4 linked regions of the Drosophila melanogaster genome follow. The protein of the gene in region 4 interacts with the protein of the main gene of each other region in a pairwise test. Each region holds a gene or a part of one and is shown on either strand. Other genes may lie near its edges. The genes, in order: CG9014, Tmlh, AdipoR and cpa.

Region 1 (4,304 bases), on a different chromosome or scaffold from region 4:
GAGTCAGGGTTAACATGACTGCTAGTGTAGAGGTGAAAATTTATCAAAATTCTTCAGTGGATAACGTATATTTAAGCCGCTTTGCAGCTTCACCTCTTCTCAACGCCCCATCTTTAGTGATTAGTATAATTGATTTACCTACTTACAATTCATATAACCTAACTCATCCAATAAATTATACTTCAAGAATAAGGTAAATATGTTTAGAACATAATTACACTGCCAATCAACAATTTTGGAACTTAAGGCGAAGCGGGAAACATGTGAGCAGAATGCTACTTCGAGTCCGTCATTAATGATTATCTATCTGCAGAGTAGAGGGAATGTGGCATCAGGATGCTAAGGACTTGGGGACAATGAGGCACGTACTGATGTTGCAATGAAATGACAACGGCGCAAGAACAGCAAATATAAATGCAAATAAACATTGTGTGGCAAGCATTTGTGGCTCGTTACATGCTAACACAGAGCCACTCACGTAATGACTGTTTACACGTTGCTAACCTTATTAGTTGGGTTTCGTACATAAATACACTCGGAAAAACCAAACATGATCTTCTTGCACTTAAAAAAAACAGCACTCAAATGTACATATATATTTTATTAACAAAAAAAAAGGCACTTCTATAATATATAAAACATCATAAGCTATTATCCAAATCTTTCATCAGAGTGTGTGCATCCTCTAGGAGCCTTCGAATCATCAATGCTGATTTTCACAAATGCGGTCAGATCAGTTGGAAAAACATTTTTGTGGCGAGCTGTGTATATGCTTACGTACAAACTTATTAAATTTTCCTGCTTGAGTGGTTCGTTTTGTGTTTGCTGGATGATGGGTTTTATCGGAGCCAAGTCAAATGAAAATTGTTGATTATTTTCTAATGCGCTCCATCAGCTCAGAAATGTGAAATATTGCTATTGAACGTCGCAAAGCCAATGGATTGATAAAACGAACACCACACCCCACACGGACTTAATTATTTTGCACAAAATGCGATTTATTAAAGAATATTTCACACCAGCCGGAGTGGGGAATCGCATATCAATTGTGATTTATTCAACTCATCAATTCAAGCATTTCGATTACTGTTTTTCAAGATAAAAACGAAATGAAAGAATGAGTCTTGAATATTATGGCAAACTGAAAAGGCTTGAGCAGGAATTTAAAGTAAACTAAAATGTCAGACTGACAGTTGCATTCGGAGATAAGCATTTGGTAGCACTAGACTGAAATTGCAATCCAACGAAAAGGATTCGATGCAGTAAAGTTGTCACAAACAAAATGCACAAAAAGGCACACAAAAGCAAATGTCATTCTTAGGCAAAACATGAAATTTAATATCCAAGCGAATGACGCTTCCAAGTGAAATTAAAAACCGAATTTCCAGTCACACAATGCCCATTCTATTATACACACGTATGTATATACATTCGAGTTTGCATAGAGCAGTTGATATAGTGTAAATATTTTGACATGGCAATATGTTGTCACAATCATGCCTGTGTGTCGTCTGATGAGTGTTTGTTCGAAATTCGGCCATTGTGGAGCTGAAGATGGAAAGTTTATTTGTTTGCCCATGTCCCAGCATTTGCTGTTAATTTGTTAAAATTTCACTTTATAAATAAAATTCAACTCCTCGCTTCGCTTCGCATCGCTTCTCTGTGCAGGCTAAGTTAAAACGTGGTCGCCGAAGGTTGGCTGGACGTTTGGCATTATTCCGGGTTGTCGTACCATAAGTTTTCCAATTTGCATAACTTCCGCAGCAGTTGGGACTATAAATATGCAAAGGGTTTTACGACCGCACTATATGCAAGTGCCTCAAGAAAACGTTTTCTCAGACCCATTCGCCCCCACCCCACTTGCTCTTGGCCCACTTGGATGGATGACTCCCAGTGTTCTGTTGGTTGTTTGGCTGGTTTCAGTTGCGCTTGAATTGAAATTGAAGTGTCCTAAATGGTAGAAGGCTCAATGAGAGCTGTTTGCATAACAGATGATCGAAAGGCCTAGTATTTCTTAGCTTAAGAAAAGGATTTTTATTTACAAAAATAAACTATATATACTATTTATATAACTATGCATAACTATACACATAGTTGGCTTTTAATCAGATGCCAGCTCGGACACAACTCAGCGCCGACGTAAAAACTAACTTTTTGATCGAAATATTGTAAAAATCGAGTTTCGGATATAGGTATAAGTACATATCGAACTCAGTGGTAAGTGGATGAGAGTGGCTCCATGCCAAAAAAAAATAACATCTCAGATTCTCCAGCGACATAAACTTCGGTATAGAAATCAAACCATTTCGTCATGGGCTTTGATCTAAACTGCATTGTGGGCCACGTTGACGAGGAGCTCATCTGTCCAATTTGCACAGATGTCCTGGAGGAGCCGGTCCAGTCATCGGAATGCGAGCACGCCTTCTGTCGCGCCTGCATCGACAAGTGGATGATCCAGAAACAGATTTGCCCGGTGGACCGCTCCGGGCTACTGACCTCACATCTGGTGCCCGTTTCGCGCCTAATGCGCAACATGCTATCCCGCCTAAAGATCAAGTGCACCTTCTCGCAAAGCGGTTGTGCCCAAATGCTGGCCCTCGAGGAGTTCCGGACCCATGTCGCCGCCTGCGAGCATAATCCCAAGGTGGTTGTCGAGTGCAGCAAGGGGTGCGGAATGAAGGTGAACATTCTGGGAATAACTTGAACTGCTTAAGATAGCTATAATATTCCCGCTAAAGGTACCCAAGGACGAGATGTCGCGCCACAACTGTGTGTTCGAACTGCGCGAGCTGGTGGAGAAACTGGCGAAGGAGGTTTCCGATCTGAAGCAGAAGCAATCCGATATGGAGGAGCAGAGCTCCAGCCAGCGCCGAGAGATGGAGCTGTTCCAGTACTATATCGCAGCACTGCGATCGACCAATCCCATGCTGCGCAACATTGGCGAACAACTGGACCGCTTCTCACTGATGCAGTGGGGCCATGGACTCCCTCTGGCCAACATCCATACGTGGGGCAGTCTGATCTCCACGCCGGACAATCCCATGCACCTGATGGTGCGCGACGTTTTGCGTGAAAGCGGCTGTCCGATGCATATGCTCAATATGCTGGTTGAACGTTGCCACGAGGATCGCTGGCCCGAAGGTCTGATGACGTTGGACGATCGCCGCGAGAACCAACATCTCATGAGTCGGTATGTCACCCGATTGGTGCCCGGTCTGGTCATTGGCAAACCGTGCGTGGTTGTTCTGGGCGGCGAAAACACCCACATGCCGGAGAATCTGCGCCCCATCCTCGGACTGGTCATGATCTTCGTCGACGGTGTGAATGAGGTAATATTTGGCGAAGAGATTATTTAAGCCAATGATGGGTCACCACATCCTGCTTGTATCCTCCACATCTAAATTCATTTTGGTAACACAACACAAAAGCGCAACTGGCTGCCCGTTTTCCACGTCCTTTGTTTTGGAATGATGGTCATGTTGCTTCACTGTCTTAAATTACACGATCGTACTTCAAAAGTCGTCAAAATGAAAAATATAAATATGTTTTATCAATTCGAGTTACGTAAATAGAAAACAAACAAATGGTCGTGTTATTTTTTAATGTCGGACCTTATGAATAATCTGAGGGCTCCCAATACTATCGAAGAGTTTTTATGAAACGTATGTAATTTTGAAATTTTTAAGGTTTTGTTAAACTTCCCTCATCGATTGGTTCAGTGCAGCAACACTCACAGTTTAAAGTTGTCGTTGTAGCTGACAGATATTCTTCTCGGCAATTACGCGGCAATTATAGAAGCTCAGTGAACACTCGGGCGTATGCGTAATGTTGGAGCGAAATTAAATAAACGCATAAGCTGGGATTGAGGTTGCTCCTTCTGTGGGTGGGCGGTTGGTTGGGCTTGCGGTGGGTGCATCAAGTAAAACTTATAATGGAAATGGTAAAAGTTTGGCTGTGCTCGGTTCGCGGCAGTTGGCGACACCATTTGGAAAAGTTTTACAAATTGTACAAAATTTAATTTCCCAGCTGAGATAAATTTTCGGGACCATTACGATTTTAGCCTGCAATTGAAAACGAGATCTCTGATCAAATGAAAATTAATGGACTGCAAGCAGCTTACTTCGATGCGATGAGCTCACATTTGGGCAAATATTGTCCATTGAATGAAGTATACACCGAATTAGTGTCAAATCAAACACGACTCTTTGAACTAATTAAATGGTCCGGTACACACAAAGGCCATGTACGGCTAACTTGATTAAGCCAAGACGACGACGCAGTACAAAGGACAACTAACGAACTAA
Region 2 (4,122 bases), on a different chromosome or scaffold from region 4:
GCCGGGGACGAACGAATGAGCGCGCCGCAGAAAAAGTTAATTTATAAATTATTCAGTAATTTGTTTTAGACTCTGCTTTAGCTGCTACCCATCCCATACCACCGCAACAGCAACAACAATGGAAATAAATTTCTTTTGTGCCTGGCTTTGATCCGCCCCTCATTCAAAATGTGTATCTAAGCCGGGACTTTCCCGCGAACACTATCCACCGACCACTCATTCCCGGTTCAACGTCATGGTCGCGTAGTTGGCGTCCCGTTCTGAGGGGCTCCGCTCCAAGTATCGTGCGCATAAGTCCGCTCTTATATTTAATTATTAATGTTCATTCGGTCCGGCCAGCGTCTTGTGGCATTTCTCAGCTCTTGCCGGGAACGCCGTGCCATCATCATCCGGCACCACGTTGGCTTCCATTTAAGTGGCTTTCACCTTTGTACGGCTGCGGAGCACGGCGAAAAAATCGCATTTAAAACGGAGCATTATCGGCTTTAGTTCGCTCAAGGCGAGCTTTCTCTTTTATGCACTTAAAAAAAGCATCCACCTTGGATGTCCAAGGGTATATCAACTCGAAAATTGAGTGGTCCCAAATGAACCAGACTGTTTTTAACAATTTTCATATCTATCTCAATTCATATCCTTTGCTCAACTGAAAGATGAAAAAATCTACTACGAAACATTAATAAATAGATTTTATATTATTATTAATATATTCTCTGTAATTATCGAATGTGTGCAAATTAAAAATAAAAGTGGTCGCATATTTTGCAGGGTGTACCAGAATTTTATTTTGATTTCACTGCCACCGCAGCTCATTTCCGTTCTCGAATAAGCAGAGAAGCGAATACACAAGGCTATAGCCATTACGGCTGAGGCTTGGACCACTCGACGCAGAGGATCAAGTGGTCGTAGCCGTGGCCATTAAGAACCTCAATGGCGGCAGCTGCATCCTGGCGGAACTTGAAGTGCACGTAGGCGAATCCCTTGCAGAGGCCGCTGTTTTTTTCGCGCGCCAAATACATCTTGGTGTGTGGTCCGATTTTCTTTACCAGCTCCTCGAGATCAGTCTCGGTCATGGATTCGGATAGGTTTGAGATGCGAACTGCCGACGAATCGTCCCGATCCCGACCCCGTCCCCAATTTTTGCTGCCAGATATGCCTCCGCCGTCCTTCATGAAGGGTGGTACATATTTTCCGGTCTTGCTGGGATCACTTATAGCGGCAGCTGCAGCGGCATTGGCCTTGGTTTCCATCACGGTTTTGCTATCCATCGAGGTGCCCTTGTAGGGACAATTGACACTCCAGTGTTCGCCATTGCAAATGCGGCACTTGGCGATGTTCTTGCCGGGATCAAGTTGGGTTTCGTGGGTCTGGTCGAAATCTTTGGAGCCGATGAATTGCATAAAGATCTCCTCGGAGGCCATTGTCGTCTGGGAATTGGGTCCGGGCTTGTCCGATCGCGAATCCCCAAACTTAACCCAGTTGCGACGACGAGCCACAGCCTTCGGAACAATCTGCTTCTCGATCTTGAAGGTTCGCACCACTTTCACCTTCTTGCCATCATCGTTGAACTTATACTCCGTCACGTACTTGAAGTCGCCCTTAATGTACTCATTAGAAGGCGGCAGTCCATCCACATAGTCCGCATCCACCTCATCGGCCCAGGAAGTAACGAAAGTCTTCATTTTTTATGATTTCCCACACAACCGGTACAAAATGAATTAAAAACTTAGAGATCTCTAGTTTTAGAGAGAGTTTTTCCATTTGAATTTTACTTGGCCTGTTGAGATGGGAAAAAATCCCTTTCAATAAAAGATATTTGAAATTAATATTTATATTTTCTTTAAAGTAATGATTTTTTAATAAAAAATACAACAACTTGAGTAGCAATTCACTAAGATAACTTTGCAACAAAAACATACCATTCAATCAATCTTGATTAAATTATAAATTTTTTTACTTTCATGAGTTGTTCTTAATAATTACATATTGTCTTTAAATTCAATAAATTTATTAATCTTATAGTTATTCCGTAAACAAATAAGTTCTTATCTCTGACTTGAGCATGAAAGTAATCGCTCTCCTACTGATAACAGTACAATTAAAACCGAGCTGAAACTTAATCAAACTTTGAGCTGTTAGTTCACTTTCACTGCTCTAGTCCGTCGGTTGTTCTATTGGCATTAACATGTTGCTTTTGAAGCACCCGAAAACCAGCCAATCAATAGAAATCAATGAGTTTTGGCTCCGTGATCATTGTCGATGTGTGGAGTGTCTAAATTTCGAAACAAATCAGAGGCGATACGATGTCTTAGATCTACCAGCTGATATAATGCCACTAGATGTCAAATACGACGGGATGAATCTACAAGTGCAGTGTAAGAAAAAATTGATGTAAAATGCACCTAGCTTCGATTTTATTGGCCTGCCATTTTAGGGAGTGATGCTCACAAGTCGAACTATGACCTGGACTTTATCTTCGACTCACAGCTGGAGAGGTTGATAGGTCGGCGATCAAAGTCCACTAATCTGACACCATGGAATCGTAGCATTATCTTGCAAAACGAACGGCACTTACGATTCCCATTGCCCCAGCTGGTTTCCAGTGATAACGAAGTCAGATCCCTGGTTGAATCTCTGGTGCGTTATGGCATTGTCTTTATCGATGATGTGGCTCCCACCGCGAATATGACAGAATTGGCTCTGCGACGAGTTTTCCCCCTTATGAAAACGTTCTTTGGCGAAATGTGGACTTTTAGCGATAACCCCGATCACGCGGACACCGCTTATACCAAACTTTACCTGGGTTCCCATACGGATAATACCTATTTCTGCGATGCAGCCGGACTACAGGCTCTACATTGCATTGAGCACTCGGGATCGGGTGGCGAAAATTTCTTTGTTGATGGTCTGCATGTGGTTCACGAACTGAAACGCCGGTATCCCGCCGCTTATGATGTACTGTGCAGTGTCCAAGTTCCTGGAGAGTACATCGAAAAAGGGGAGCACCACTACCACACTGCCCCCATTATACAGGTGGATCCACTGACTCAGGAATTTGTTCAACTCAGACTAAATGTATATGATCGCGCCGTGTTTAATACCATCCCTCAAGCCGAAATGGCCGAGTTCTATGACAGTCTTCGCCAGCTTTTGCTAATCGTCAGGGATAAGCAACAGCAGTGGGCTCTCAAGCTATGTCCCGGCAGCATTGTTCTTTTCGATAACTGGAGAGTGCTCCATGGTCGAGAGGCATACACAGGAAGTCGTACCATGTCCGGTTCCTATGTGCAGCGCACAGATTTTCTCAGCAAGGCTCGAGTGCTGGGAATTATTGACTGAAAGCTTATTGAAAAATACCTAATGTATACCGAATTAAAACCTTTTATGAACTAAGAAATTATGATTTATTTTCTATACTTTCTAGTGCTCCGCATATTCCTTCAGCAATCATTTATGTATTATATGGTCCGTACCGACTTTTATACTTTTTGCAATGGGAAAGTTTCATGCGGATAACTTTAACACTGAGAGATTATTTTGTGGATAGAAGAACATTTAACATTGATCAATAATATATATACTTTACATGTTCGTAGCTGACTCCTTCACTTCGATGCAAGATACTGGCTTAAATCAACATCCTTTCTGCATATATATAAGTTTGCTTTTGATTGCTCAAATAAGAACATATTTTAAATTCGGTTCATATATCAGGAATAGCATACATTGTTAAAGAATCGTTGCGTATAGAAAAAAACACGCAAATTGTTCAAGCATATTTTTCTTTTTTCTGAACCGAGTCCCACTCCAATTCAATTTCGATTGCAAATGCTAACGTATCATAATAAAAAGTTACGATTACAATTGCTGGCCAGCGTCTAATTTTTGTCATAGGGGAGTGGATCGCATACAGAAAACCAGCAACAAAAATCATTTGGCATTTGTTTTTATGGCCAGCGTCTCATGTGGGTTTTCTGTATTTGTGTGCGAGAGTGTGTGTTTGGCATAAACAAACGCACTTTGAACTTTTTCATTTAAAAGTGAAATTACTTTTTGTTGGCCGTGCAGGTTAATGGCTGTCGCGCTGCTGTCCTTTAAATGTCCTCCAAATATGGATGTGCCTTA
Region 3 (6,952 bases), on a different chromosome or scaffold from region 4:
AAATATTAAATATATGTAATGCTAATGGTAATGGTACGTCGTAATGCTTAACTTTTTGAATGGTTAGCATTTGCTTGATACCTATCCGAAAATGCGTAGTCTTCAAAATCATCAAATCCAAGCCGCACTGTAGCATTTAGCTTTGCACATGCTTACGCCTCATTAAGGCATTTTAAAAATATTTCTCTTTGGCTTTGGTTTTCTCCCACTTTGCCCAACTTCCGAACTGATTTTCGCCTTATTTCGACCAAGTCATTTGCTTTTTTTTCTGCTGAACTTGAATTTTTGTTTGTAAAATAAAACCCCTGCAATCGCATTTAGTTGAAAGACACGTGCCGACAAGTTGTCAAGTACAAAGTTCGATTTATTTGCGCCGTGCAAAATAAAAGGTTTAACGATCTGCGGATTTGTCGATAGAAACTGGCACACGGCGAAGACAATGACGACGCATAGAACACAAGGCAGCAGAGGAATCAGATCGCGATCCGAGATCTCGGCGACTAGACCACGGCTGCTCACTTCATCAAGGGGGTCAAAGTCAACTCGGCATTCGCCCAGTCATCAGCAGACTGAACTCCACTAATAACCCCGATGCGAATTTCTAGTTCTCTGCAGCGATATTTATGGCCAGGCATTAGGGTGATGGCAACCGCCGAATTGCTCAATGGCAATCAGCAAACCTTAAAATAGTTTTTGCGCCAAGAAATAAAATTATATATGGCTTAATATAGCAATCTTCACCAAAACGCTCTTTTAGAAGTCTCAGCTTTTTTTTTTATTGTTTTGATTCGCTTTATGTTTTGTGATAGATCTGCATTTATAATGTATATGGTGATATAATATCTTAGGCTCCATGCGCGATGCTCTGCCGTGTGGGTGCAGGGATGCGGAATTTGTGATGTGCTGTGTATATGTGTGAATATAAAATCAGACCTCATTTAACGATGAAACGTATGTTCATTACTCCATACAACCCTAACAACTCTAAGCGGTAAGGTAAATACTAATGCCACAAGGGGATCATCTAATTGCATAACTTAAAGTAATTGCTTGGCTGACATGGTAGCTCCTTTAGATCCTGTTTTAGCAATGGAACCCTTGAGCGGAAGTCATCTCGTTTTGCCAATTTCAGATGCAAGCAATTCTGCACTACTCGAAATGTAAATCAACTTACGACAACATTAAGTAGACAAATTGGAATTTTATAAATAATTGTACATATATTAATTTCTCTACTGCAGATTTCATTCGACAATCAACTGGTTTTGCAATTTTTTTTTTTCTATGCAAGATTTTGATGATAAATGCGTGTAATTGTGTGTTAAGTGTGTGTTTTTGTCTTCTATATGGTTCCGTTGATTTTGTATAACAAGGTACAAATGCTCCCCAAACGCTAAAAAGGTTGCATTGTAAAACTGCGCTAGTTCGCATTAATATATGTTTTACTCGTACTATGAATGGGATTGTATGTGCTTTTACGATGATTGTTTCTTGGCATCCACTTCAGCATCTAAAAGGTTATTGGTTCGATGGGAACAGTGCATTCGCTATACATGACGCGGTACATGGCCATTTCAGAGATGCCATGGTAGTGGACAAAAGCGGCCGCAATGACCAGTATGTGGAATATTTGATGTGATTGACCCTGCAAAATAAAAGACTGTTAGAACGGTGCAAAGGACAAAACCATCAAGAATCGTACCCAAATGTCAAACTTTCCAGGGAACCAGCGTTCGGGAACACGGAGGGCGTACAGCAGTGCGCCCAGAATGTAGAGGAGGCCTGCAAGATGTATTTTGCCATTGTTTTACCATTATTTTAATATGCATATCTACAAGCACTCACCCATCAGAATTAGCCATCCCAGACTGGCGCGGCTCATCTGGCTGAACCAGCCCTCCATGATGCTGTAGTGAATAGCTGGAATCACACCCGACAGGCCAAAGCTCATAAATACGCCAGCGCGCAAGGGACGAAGTGCCGGCTCCGAAAACTTGTCCCATAGCGAGACCACGATGGAGAGGATGCCCAGAATGCTAACAACGGATAGGTATATCACCTTTGGCTGGTAATGACAGTAGAAGCCATAGTACAGCCAAGGCACAAAGGAACCCATGATCAGCAGCGCAATTCCACAGTAGTCAAGTCTGTTGGTAAACAAAACAATTAACATAATATCCATTTAATTAGTCGAGGAATACTTACTTAGAAAACAGTCTTCCCATCTCTACAGAATGACAGCTCAGTGTGTGAAAAGCGAATGAGAATCCTAGGCACACAATCGCACCGATAAAGAAGGCGCCAAAAACGATCTTCTCCTGTGTCTGGATCTCAACCGAGGGACGCGAGATGAAGTATAATGCCACGCCGATGAAGGCGATGCAGCCAAGAAGATGTGTCCAGATGTTGCCCGTTTCCGTGTGCACGCGGAAAATTGATTTAAAGCACGCACGGAAAGAGGGGAGCGGTGGGCGATGGCCGCGGTGTAGGAAGTCGTTATCCTGCAGCCACTTGGGTAGATTTTTGTAGTGGCACACTTTCCAGCTAGCCTCCCAGACCTACGGATGAAATGGAAAAAAATAACATATCATTCTATAGATAAGACATTACGTTTGGTAACTATAAACAAACAACAACAACAAAAAATACAGTCCCAACACTTAATACTATTTATTGAAATAAAAACAAAAATACAAAAGCTACAATATTACAAATCTTGAAGAGTATCTTCCATTTAAGCCATTCTTCACTTGGCAGCATCACTTGGCTTACCTTGCGCACAAACTCCTCTGCCTGCTCGGCGGCATTGTGTGCCAATGCGCCCAAATCAATTTCATCGGAGAGAACTCCGGCCTTCAGCACTTCCGTCATCTGTGGAATAGAGTGATAAGACATTAAACAGCTCTCAAAACAAATATAAAAAGCTTAATAACAAAGAAAAACTAAGAGCAAATGGGACTAACGACTGCATTTTCAGCTTGCTCCTTGACTGTGTCAGGGTTTTGGGTTCTGTAAGTTTCTTGACTGAGATCCGGCTCCAGATCCGGGTTGACACGCACTATAACCTCCGGCTGGGTCTGCATCTTGAGCGGCTAACAGAGATTCGAACGGAACTAGAACTAAATGTGCGAGGCAATGAGCGATTGTACTGTGAAGCCTCTGCCAGTCGCATACTCAATTTGTTGGCGGAACAAGAAAGCACCGAATGCGTTCCGCGATAAGATAAGCTTGCCCGAAACTGACTCCGGGCATTATCAGCACCGCATCGACGTAAATTTGTGATTTTTTTCCAGCATCTGTCGTATAAAGGGCTATGCCAAAGCTTTTTGCGTTCAATCTAAGCCTGACCTTTAAAGCCGGTGATCAAACGGGCAGATTGTCTAGAGTATAAGGCTCAAAGTCAAGAAATTTTACTTGACACCTTTCGGACAGACATTAAAGGCAAGGAGAGATAAGAGGTATAACTTTCAAATGGCTATGGAATATGCTTTAAATTGAGCAATTGTATTTAGTGAGTCATAAAAATGGAGAAATGGCCACGATAAGGTTTAAGTACAATGGTTATGGTACATTTTGCATGTGGCAAATAGACATTGGCCAATGCAACATTTCGATTGATAAGACGCCCGACATTGAAATGACTGCCTGCGCAGAGGGAAAATTGCGACTAACAAGTGGCAGCCGATAACCACATGGTGGTAGGTCAGCGATAAGAGCTCCGCCACATGTTTTGACGATTGCATTTCGTACTTTTCCACCTGGTGGAAAATGGAAATAAAGGTTAATAGCCCCAACTCACCTCCGCCTCAATAAGCTGTGTGTCCTCCGGGGTCGAGGGGAGTGGACAACCGGCGTCATCCTCCTCGACCAACTCATCGTCGTACTCCAGAATGTCCAGATCATTGGGGCTAAGCGAGTCCTCCGGTCCCCAGCCACGTCGCTTGCGCAGGATCATCTGCACCTGCTCAAAGATATCCTCGTCTGAACCTTCTCTACGCAAGGTGGCCGTGGTGGTGGTCACCGCCTCGCCGGTAGCATGTCCTTCGGCGTCCATGCCGAAAGTGGCTCGAGCCTGGGTGGTTACCTCCACCTCGGCGGGATGGCTCCCGCCACTCACATCAGCCGCTGAGCCCTGTTGCTCGAGGAGATTAGTGGCCGAATCCATGGTCTTACGATCCCGCGGATTCGTTTTGCACTCCGCAAATAGTATTCTGTAAGAGAAATACGTTCTGTTCAATACGATACATACGAATTTAGTTGTTCGAAAGCAATGCTAAGCGTTTGTTAGCTCAACGCTAGCTCGTCTGGGAAATGCGATATTTGTTTATTTGTTTATTGGTCTGCTCCGATCGCATTGCTATATAGTATGGCGCGACCTTTGTTCCCCAGTAAATCGGTTGTACGTAGCACATAAGTCTGTATCTGGTAGCTTTGTGTGTTTTATCACTTAGGAAACTTAGCTGCCAATTACGTTTTTACATAAGATGGTGTTCAAATGCGAGTGGGATCCTCAGTGGGTTAAGGTGCAGTTGCTATTTCGGGGAAACCATTATATAGATAGCAAAGTGCATGGAAAATGCAGCCAGAAGGCCACGTGTGAGTGGAATACTACCAACTGGCTTAACCCCCACCTGCACTCCACTTGCGCAGTTCCCATTTTTTTTATACGAAGTTACAGAAAGTGTCACAACACAAACGAACGATTAATCACTCGATTTCACTGGCGTTTCGTTACTATTCACTTACCACTCGAAAGTCGCGCAGTTGGCGTGGCTTCGACGGCAGGCCCAGGAGTCAACACTGGCGCGAAAAACTATTTGCTGCACTTGCTTCAATTGCGTGCAATTGCAGTTTTTCATCTGTTTTCCCTTAATTTAATTTTTTCTGTGTTTTTTCCAGTGTGACTGCAAGCGCGATAGGGAAAATCACTAGCAATCATATGGGAACGGAGGAAATGCGGTCATACCTTGACGCAGCAGCTGTTAACGGCTGTTAACGCTACTTTGTAGTCACAGCTCTGTAAAACAATGTGGCAACTCTGCGCAGCGCCCGCCATATTTGAAAATGCTTGCCAGCAAATCGTATTGCTCCCGGTAAACAAGGTGCTTTCATTATTAGTCAACATTTTTGAGAGCTAACAACTTTTTATTGGCGATCAAAGGTGGTACTTCAACTGACCAAATATTGGATATTTGCGTAAATACCTAACAGGCATTTGTTTTTTTTTTCATGAGAAATTACCGTGACGAAATTACAAGACGTATATTATATGAATAGAAAATTTTCCTCTAGTCTGTAAACACTTCAGTAACAGAGAAATTGTTTTCAAAAAATGTTAAGGCATCTCATTAAAAAACATCAACAATGAACTCAACTTAAGCCTGGTAGTTATGAATTAGCATGTGTAGTTCCCCGATATTTAACCTACTTAAGTATGCACATATCTGCCATTCCTTGGACACTTTTGCAAAGACAACAAAGACAACATCACAGCTTACTTAAAATATATATATTTAAATTAATTAATTAAAGTAATACAAGAATGTCTAATTATAGCTTTTTTAGAAATAGCATTACGGTGTTATAAAAACCCACAAATGTAGGCAAATAACAATTCTAATAATAAAGAAACTTAATTGGGAAGACAAAATGGTGTTTGGCTAGTGAGGAAATATCACCAGCCTTGCAGGCCCAATAAAGATTCACTTGTTTGGCAAGCTCTTAATAGCGCAATTTAACTACGTTTTAATAGCGCCCTTAGAATATTTATTGCACATAAAGGCCAATATGTTTAGTCAAGAGTCATTCATCTTTGTTAAACAAATTCAATTTCAAACATAAGACTATAGAACTTGCTTTGCTCAGGGGCAGCCCATCAAGATGATATACCCTATTGACCAATCCAGGCCAATATCATCCATCAGCTCTCGGCGTTCTGACCAGCTACGTTAGAAACTCGGCCAAGGAGCAGATTTCGCACAGACCCCGACTAGCGGTATTAATCGACTGAATTAATACATTTAGTAGCGCTGAAGTTCAGGGTCATAATCACAAAAGAGAAGCGCCGATAATGCGAGCTGTTTCTGTTTGAATGACGAGCGCGCGACAAAAAATGCTAAACGGCCAATGTGCTTCAAATGGAAATGGAAATGCCAAAGACCCGGAAGGGTGGCGACCAACACAGCTGCAGTGCATCCAACTCGGCAAACATTTGCATATTTGACCGGGCACTTAGCACGTGGGTGGAGTACATGGATCACCATGGGTCACACAAATCACCTGGGAATCTGGGAGACTGGTGAGAGTAAGTGCGTGAAATTGACCCATTCATTGGACGGACAATCGCTTCCCATCGATCTGGAAATGTGTTAACTGCGCCCGTAAACCCTATTTGCGTAGTTAAATTAAGTGCCAGGTTATGGAGTTGGGGCGTGTCATCCCCCACATTGGCACATATATATATATATATATAAGCACTTATAACTATGCTGCCAATTGAGTTCGTCTCAATGACGTGACGGCGATAATAAATCAATTGTCTAGCGGTTTATTTAAAGCCAATTTTGTAGCTGGAAATTGGCACACAGAAAGAAAAGTGGTGTCAGGAACTTATATATAAAATGTTATTATTTTGGTTATTTTTAAAGGGTCTAATGGAACTATTTTTATTATAAAAATGTAGATAATTTTTTAAGCATTTCTTTATAGAGATGTTTTTAGAAAAATGTTTTTTTAAATGGGCACACAGAAAGAAAAGTGGTGTCAGGAACTTACATATATAAAATATTATCCATATCTATTTTGTTAATTTTAAAGGGTCTAATGGAACTATTTTTATTACAAAAATGTAGTTAATTTTTTAAGCATTTCTTTATAGAGATGTTTTTTAGAAATAACACAGTATCAAACGAAAGTGGCGAGGATGACGCAAAATCCAATTAACCTGAGTTAT
Region 4 (4,809 bases):
CTTTTTCTTCTTGCCCGCTGTGGAATGCATTTACTATTAGTTGTTAACTATTTAACCTGGATGTGGAGGCTCACCTGGCGCCGCCGGTTTTGCAGCATAAAAACGTGCCCAGTTTCCTATCGCTGGGGCTATCAATCGCTGCCTCGCCATCTGGAAAACTGCGGTTAGGCTGGTCATGTCTGCTATGTGCTTTATTTAATCCGTTTTCGTCACTTTAATAGAAAAACAAATGATAAATTACAGATATTTACAAAACTGTGCGTTTTGTTGTATAATCTGCTAACTATAAGTGTGGCACTGCAGCCCTGGTTATAAAGTATACGACCAGTCAGCTGATTTTTCAAAACAAATAACTATCGAAATTATTTTTAAATGAAAAGCAATTTTATGAGCAATTTTATAATATGACTTAATTGTCACTAAAACAACATAACAATAGATGATGTTGTTATATTTTCTGCAAATAATTTGCATATAAATGCATTTAGAGGTGGACTTCGGTCTTAATAAGCCTTTTCACATAACGATATCGACCAGCTGTCATCGCTAATTCGACGCCGGCTATACGGTATATTACACAAGTAACAGCAGCTGGATTGTAAATAAAAAAGCGTTAGCAAGATGGTTGGACTCAAGTTTCCGTCGAACCGAACACTGGGCAATATTTGTGTCTACGGTGCGGTGGCCTCCATATCCGCTGTGATGTACATGAAATGGAAGATGGAGGATCGGGTGAAATCCGCAGAGTACTACAAACTGGCCTTGAAGGCACTGCGGAGCCATCGAGGAGCAGTTGGTCTCCTGGGTGAACCCATCAAGGACTCTGGCATCGATCTGTCCAACGCCAACAACAATTGCAATGCGGAGGAGGCGCGTTGTGAGGTGGCTGTGCGGGGCAGCAAGGATAAAGGTAGATCCATCGATTTTGAAAGCAAATCTTTGGCGTTTACCAACCTTATATTTGCAGGAACTTTATACTTTTGGGCGTCCAATCAGCCGGATAGAGGCTGGCTGATCGATCGACTGGAGCTGGAAACAAAACTCAACCCAGAGAAACGATTTTTGCTTAAAAAATCCGAGGAACTAACCTTCGATCTGCCCGAGAGTATAACCAAACAAACTGCCCAGCAAGTTGATTCCAATGTCATTCTATCCGCATCGGATCAACAACCAGAAACACATTCAAAGTGAAGACAATCCGAATGTCCGATTCAATTAGTTTATTCTCTTTAAATTTGACTAATTCAAGCAATCTTAAATGTTTTATAGTTATGTTATTTTAATTACAAATTTATTGTTTTTATAAAATCAAAGTCTTTAGTTATTGTTTGTCAATGGAGAGCTGGCAAAAATGATCAGTGGTTTAGCATAGTTATTATTCATGCTCATACTAGGTGGTTGGTTTGTGAACAATCGGGAAAGCGAAAAACTTGAATGAGTGCTCCTAATGATACCACTTAAAATAGTCGAGAGTCGGCTGGTTGGTCTTCAAAGACACGAAGAATTGACTGGCTCATCGAGAGCGCAGATCTCGAGCTTGATTCGTTTAAAATTAGAATAATACATAGGTCAGAGGACATGATAAAATCCGCGTTTAATGCTCTTCTTAAACGATAAAGGCGACAATTGGTGGCGATCGTGACGTAGACGAGGCGGCAGTGCATCGTTCACCGTCAGGCTAAAGTCATCCAAATCCTTGCAATCAAATCGTCTCCGATCGTACTCGATATATGTGTAGTTATGTTTACGCACTTTCGTCGTTGTATAACACAGTATAAATACAGGCCGTATATATATATATAAGTAGGTATATGTTCGTATGTATATAGCCAATTACAGACATTTGCTTTTTCGGCAGGCACCTGCACCTGGCCGCCCTCGTTTCTCGTATTCCTGCTACTTCGTTTCGGATGCTGTGGTGTTAATGCTGGTGATCGGTTCCTATGCTCGCTTGGCCATGGCAAGTGGAAGACTATTGGGCCGCTTTGTCGACTGTGTCCGCTCCTCTTCCGCTTGCACCTCCTGGTCTTATTGCGTCTTCAGTTCCTTGCCAATGCTGTACGAGACGATTTTGCTCCAGTCGATCTTGGTCCTGGTGATGGGCAACTGGCGACGCATTGCCTTGAATGTCGTGTCCGACATCGTCTGATAGTTCTCCGAAATGGCCAGCTGGTACTCATTCTCGGCGTCCTCGATCAGACGGATCACCTCCTTGGCCACCTGCTGCTCGTTGCTGACCACCACGCTTTCGCGGCACTCCTTTGAGGACACCAGCTGGACGTTGCCGTCCTCGTAGTAATGCACCTGCACCTTGAGCACACCCTTCAGTTCGGCGGTTCCGCTGCCCGCCTGGAAGGTCACATGCCACTGGGAGCGCCATCGGCCATTCCAATAGTTCTTCGGCTGGAACTGGTGGTCTTCGATGCAAATGGTCAGGGTGATCTGGTTGCCCTGCGCCTTTCCAAAAACAGAGCTGACCTGTAGAGAAAATGTTACGGGTTATTGTAAGCAATAGAGCGTTTTTCATTCAACTTACCCCGTGTCTATAATGACTGGCAGTGTAGGCGAGCGTCTCCAGGTCGAGGGCCGCCCTCCAGGGCTCCGCAGTGGCATCTGCCTCTACGTCCTGGTAGTCGGAAGCCTCTTTTCGGAGGTGGTCGTATTTGAAGGCTTGCTTTGTGCGCGGGTCGTAGAAGCGACCGTTTCCTGGAATGCAATTGCTTATCAGTGTGGGGCTCAAGATATCGACCGAAAGCCAAACAATGTGTGTAGGTGACTCATATGGCAGGCTTTGTCCATTTAAGGGCATTGATGGAACTGAACTCACCCAGATCGTTGTGTTCCGATATGATGGCGTTATGATCGGTGCCCTCGATGCGAACCGGAGTCAGCTGGTCCTTGTTGTATTGGGCGAAGGCGTGGCTAGCCCCATCCTTTAGCAGAGTGTCATTCTTGAGGAGCTCCCGCACATCGTTGAACACTTCGTTGAACTCGCCGGGCGGCGCATGTAGGATGAAGTCCGATACGATGCGCACCTTCTCCGCATCGGTGATCGGTGTCTGCTCCATAGTTCCACTGGTGATTCACGAAATCGGGGCTGGGCGGTTGTTTGGTTTGGTCTGGTTTCCCCTCCGGTTCCTAGGGTTCTACCTTTCGACGGGATCTTCTTGTGGAGTGGTTGGAAGTTGCGGTGTCGCTGGAACTCTTCCTTGACCGTTTTTTCGGCGCTGCAATCTTTTTTCTCCGCAATTAATGGGCCAAGACGATGACGATTCGATTCACTTTTTTTTCCACTCTTTGCTAGGGATGGGAAATATTTGTGTACCTGTACCGGATGCGATTCACCGTATTTTACGGGCAGTCTACACTGCTCCATAATCCGACGGGTGAATGGCAAAAGTCTTGGCGCGTTACTTGAATTGCAATAAAAAAACTTTTAACGATGTAGAATGTAATACATTATAGAAATAGTTCCTCGAGACCAATAAATATCATTGCCTGTTCAAAACCAAACTCAATCAGAACTTTTTTAAAGCAAATTATGTTATTGTTGTACATGGTAGCTAGTTTTGGTTATTAAATATTTTTCAGTTATATAAGTATTAAAGTATTGATCAACTCGTTTAAAATTAACCTGTTTGTTTGTGAAAAATAGTTGTTAATAATTCTATTTGAAAGCCCAAGCTGGGCCATTTTTATCTTCCAGCTTCCATTTTTAAAGAAATATTTGTTATATTAAATCCAGTGTAATTGATTCACATCAACGTATTTATCGAGAAGTGTAGACAGTATATAGTATCGATAAAACGAAAACATCGAGATTATTAACCGTTAATTATCGATGACCGAGGAATCGACGGTGTCTCACATCTCTAACGCCGCCCGTTGTTTTTGTTGCATTGTGTTTTTGCTTTTGAATTGAGCGGTTGTCTCGCGCGTCGATCGCAGTTTCAAAATCGGTGTGGCTCCGCAGCTTCGTTGTAAGTCGACAATAAAAGCGATCGAAGTGAAAGAAAATACGTTTTGCGATCTTTTTATTTAAAATAATTCGCCAGAAAGTACAAGTTCACAACGAAATACCATCGAAAAGTGCCTTTTTACCAAAAGTCGTTGGTAACACACATACCAACGCAGCGAACCGAACCACACGCACACAAATGCGCGCGCTTGGCGGTGTGCGTGTAACCACTTTTTTACCTGGTCTTACCTGTTTGCGGTGCGAAAGAGAGGAGGCAACAGAAACGGAGAAAGAGAGTGCCCAAGCGGACGAGTGAAAGATAAAAGTGAACGAAAATATCAGCCAGAGCAGCTGCACCGAAATCGGAATAAGTCAGTTAACAATCAGGGCGCGCACTGTACGAGTTCGATTCGATTGATAATTATTGAGCGGTTGCCATGAAAATGCAGTCCAAACAAACGGTACACTGAGAGAAACGAAACAAGAAGAAGAGTGCAAATAGAATAGAATAAAAAAGAAGTGGAAGTAGAAGTGGGCAACACAAACAAAAGTAAAAGGTGTGTGAGTGAAATAATACTGGGTGATTCACGAAGAAGTGCTCAAAAGTGTTGCGGTTGAAAAAAAGAGAGTCTGCGATGGCGGATCGCCGCTAGAGAGTATGTCCACCAGTGTCCAGCGAATGTCCAGAAGCTACCACTGCATCAATATGTCGGCGACCCCGCAGGCCGGCCACCTAAATCCCGCCCAGCAACAGACGCACCAGCAGCACAAGCGAAAATGCCGCGACCTTGGCAGGCGACTAATCCCCGCGAGACTCCTCCTGGGCGTTATCGTGGCCATCAGCCTTCTGT

What was found.
Region 1: the proteins of cpa (region 4) and CG9014 interact in a two-hybrid assay, tested with the Drosophila melanogaster proteins (one large-scale study listed by BioGRID).
Region 2: the proteins of cpa (region 4) and Tmlh interact in a two-hybrid assay, tested with the Drosophila melanogaster proteins (one large-scale study listed by BioGRID).
Region 3: the proteins of cpa (region 4) and AdipoR interact in a two-hybrid assay, tested with the Drosophila melanogaster proteins (one large-scale study listed by BioGRID).

What each region holds. Positions count from the first base shown.
Region 1 is NT_033779.5:13,721,445-13,725,748, reverse strand, and holds CG9014 (uncharacterized protein), read left to right. Parts: upstream 1-2,106; 5' UTR 2,107-2,217; intron 2,218-2,264; exon of another isoform or gene 2,265-2,273; 5' UTR 2,274-2,311; coding exon 2,312-2,680; intron 2,681-2,738; coding exon 2,739-3,356; 3' UTR 3,357-3,588; downstream 3,589-4,304.
Region 2 is NT_033777.3:20,405,884-20,410,005, reverse strand, and holds Tmlh (trimethyllysine hydroxylase), read left to right. Parts: upstream 1-2,134; 5' UTR 2,135-2,182; coding exon 2,183-2,372; intron 2,373-2,431; coding exon 2,432-3,336; 3' UTR 3,337-3,391; downstream 3,392-4,122. Other genes in the region: eIF3g2 (eukaryotic translation initiation factor 3 subunit g2), read right to left, coding at 858-1,679.
Region 3 is NT_033777.3:22,542,913-22,549,864, forward strand, and holds AdipoR (adiponectin receptor), read right to left. Parts: upstream 4,935-6,952; 5' UTR 4,747-4,934; intron 4,654-4,746; exon of another isoform or gene 4,472-4,653; intron 4,287-4,471; exon of another isoform or gene 4,212-4,286; 5' UTR 4,166-4,211; coding exon 3,800-4,165; intron 3,362-3,799; exon of another isoform or gene 3,175-3,361; intron 3,120-3,174; exon of another isoform or gene 3,084-3,119; coding exon of another isoform or gene 2,964-3,083; intron 2,872-2,963; coding exon 2,773-2,871; intron 2,559-2,772; coding exon 2,206-2,558; intron 2,148-2,205; coding exon 1,846-2,147; intron 1,783-1,845; coding exon 1,703-1,782; intron 1,646-1,702; coding exon 1,511-1,645; 3' UTR 781-1,510; downstream 1-780. UniProt on the Drosophila melanogaster protein: Adiponectin receptor. In insulin-producing cells, regulates insulin secretion and controls glucose and lipid metabolism.
Region 4 is NT_033778.4:21,056,281-21,061,089, reverse strand, and holds cpa (capping protein alpha), read right to left. Parts: upstream 3,304-4,809; 5' UTR 3,069-3,303; coding exon 2,828-3,068; intron 2,707-2,827; coding exon 2,537-2,706; intron 2,479-2,536; coding exon 2,029-2,478; 3' UTR 1,207-2,028; downstream 1-1,206. Other genes in the region: mRpL54 (mitochondrial ribosomal protein L54), read right to left, coding at 1-17, 75-177; CG15653 (uncharacterized protein), read left to right, coding at 622-910, 968-1,191; shg (shotgun), read left to right, coding at 4,617-4,809. UniProt on the Drosophila melanogaster protein: F-actin-capping proteins bind in a Ca(2+)-independent manner to the fast growing ends of actin filaments (barbed end) thereby blocking the exchange of subunits at these ends.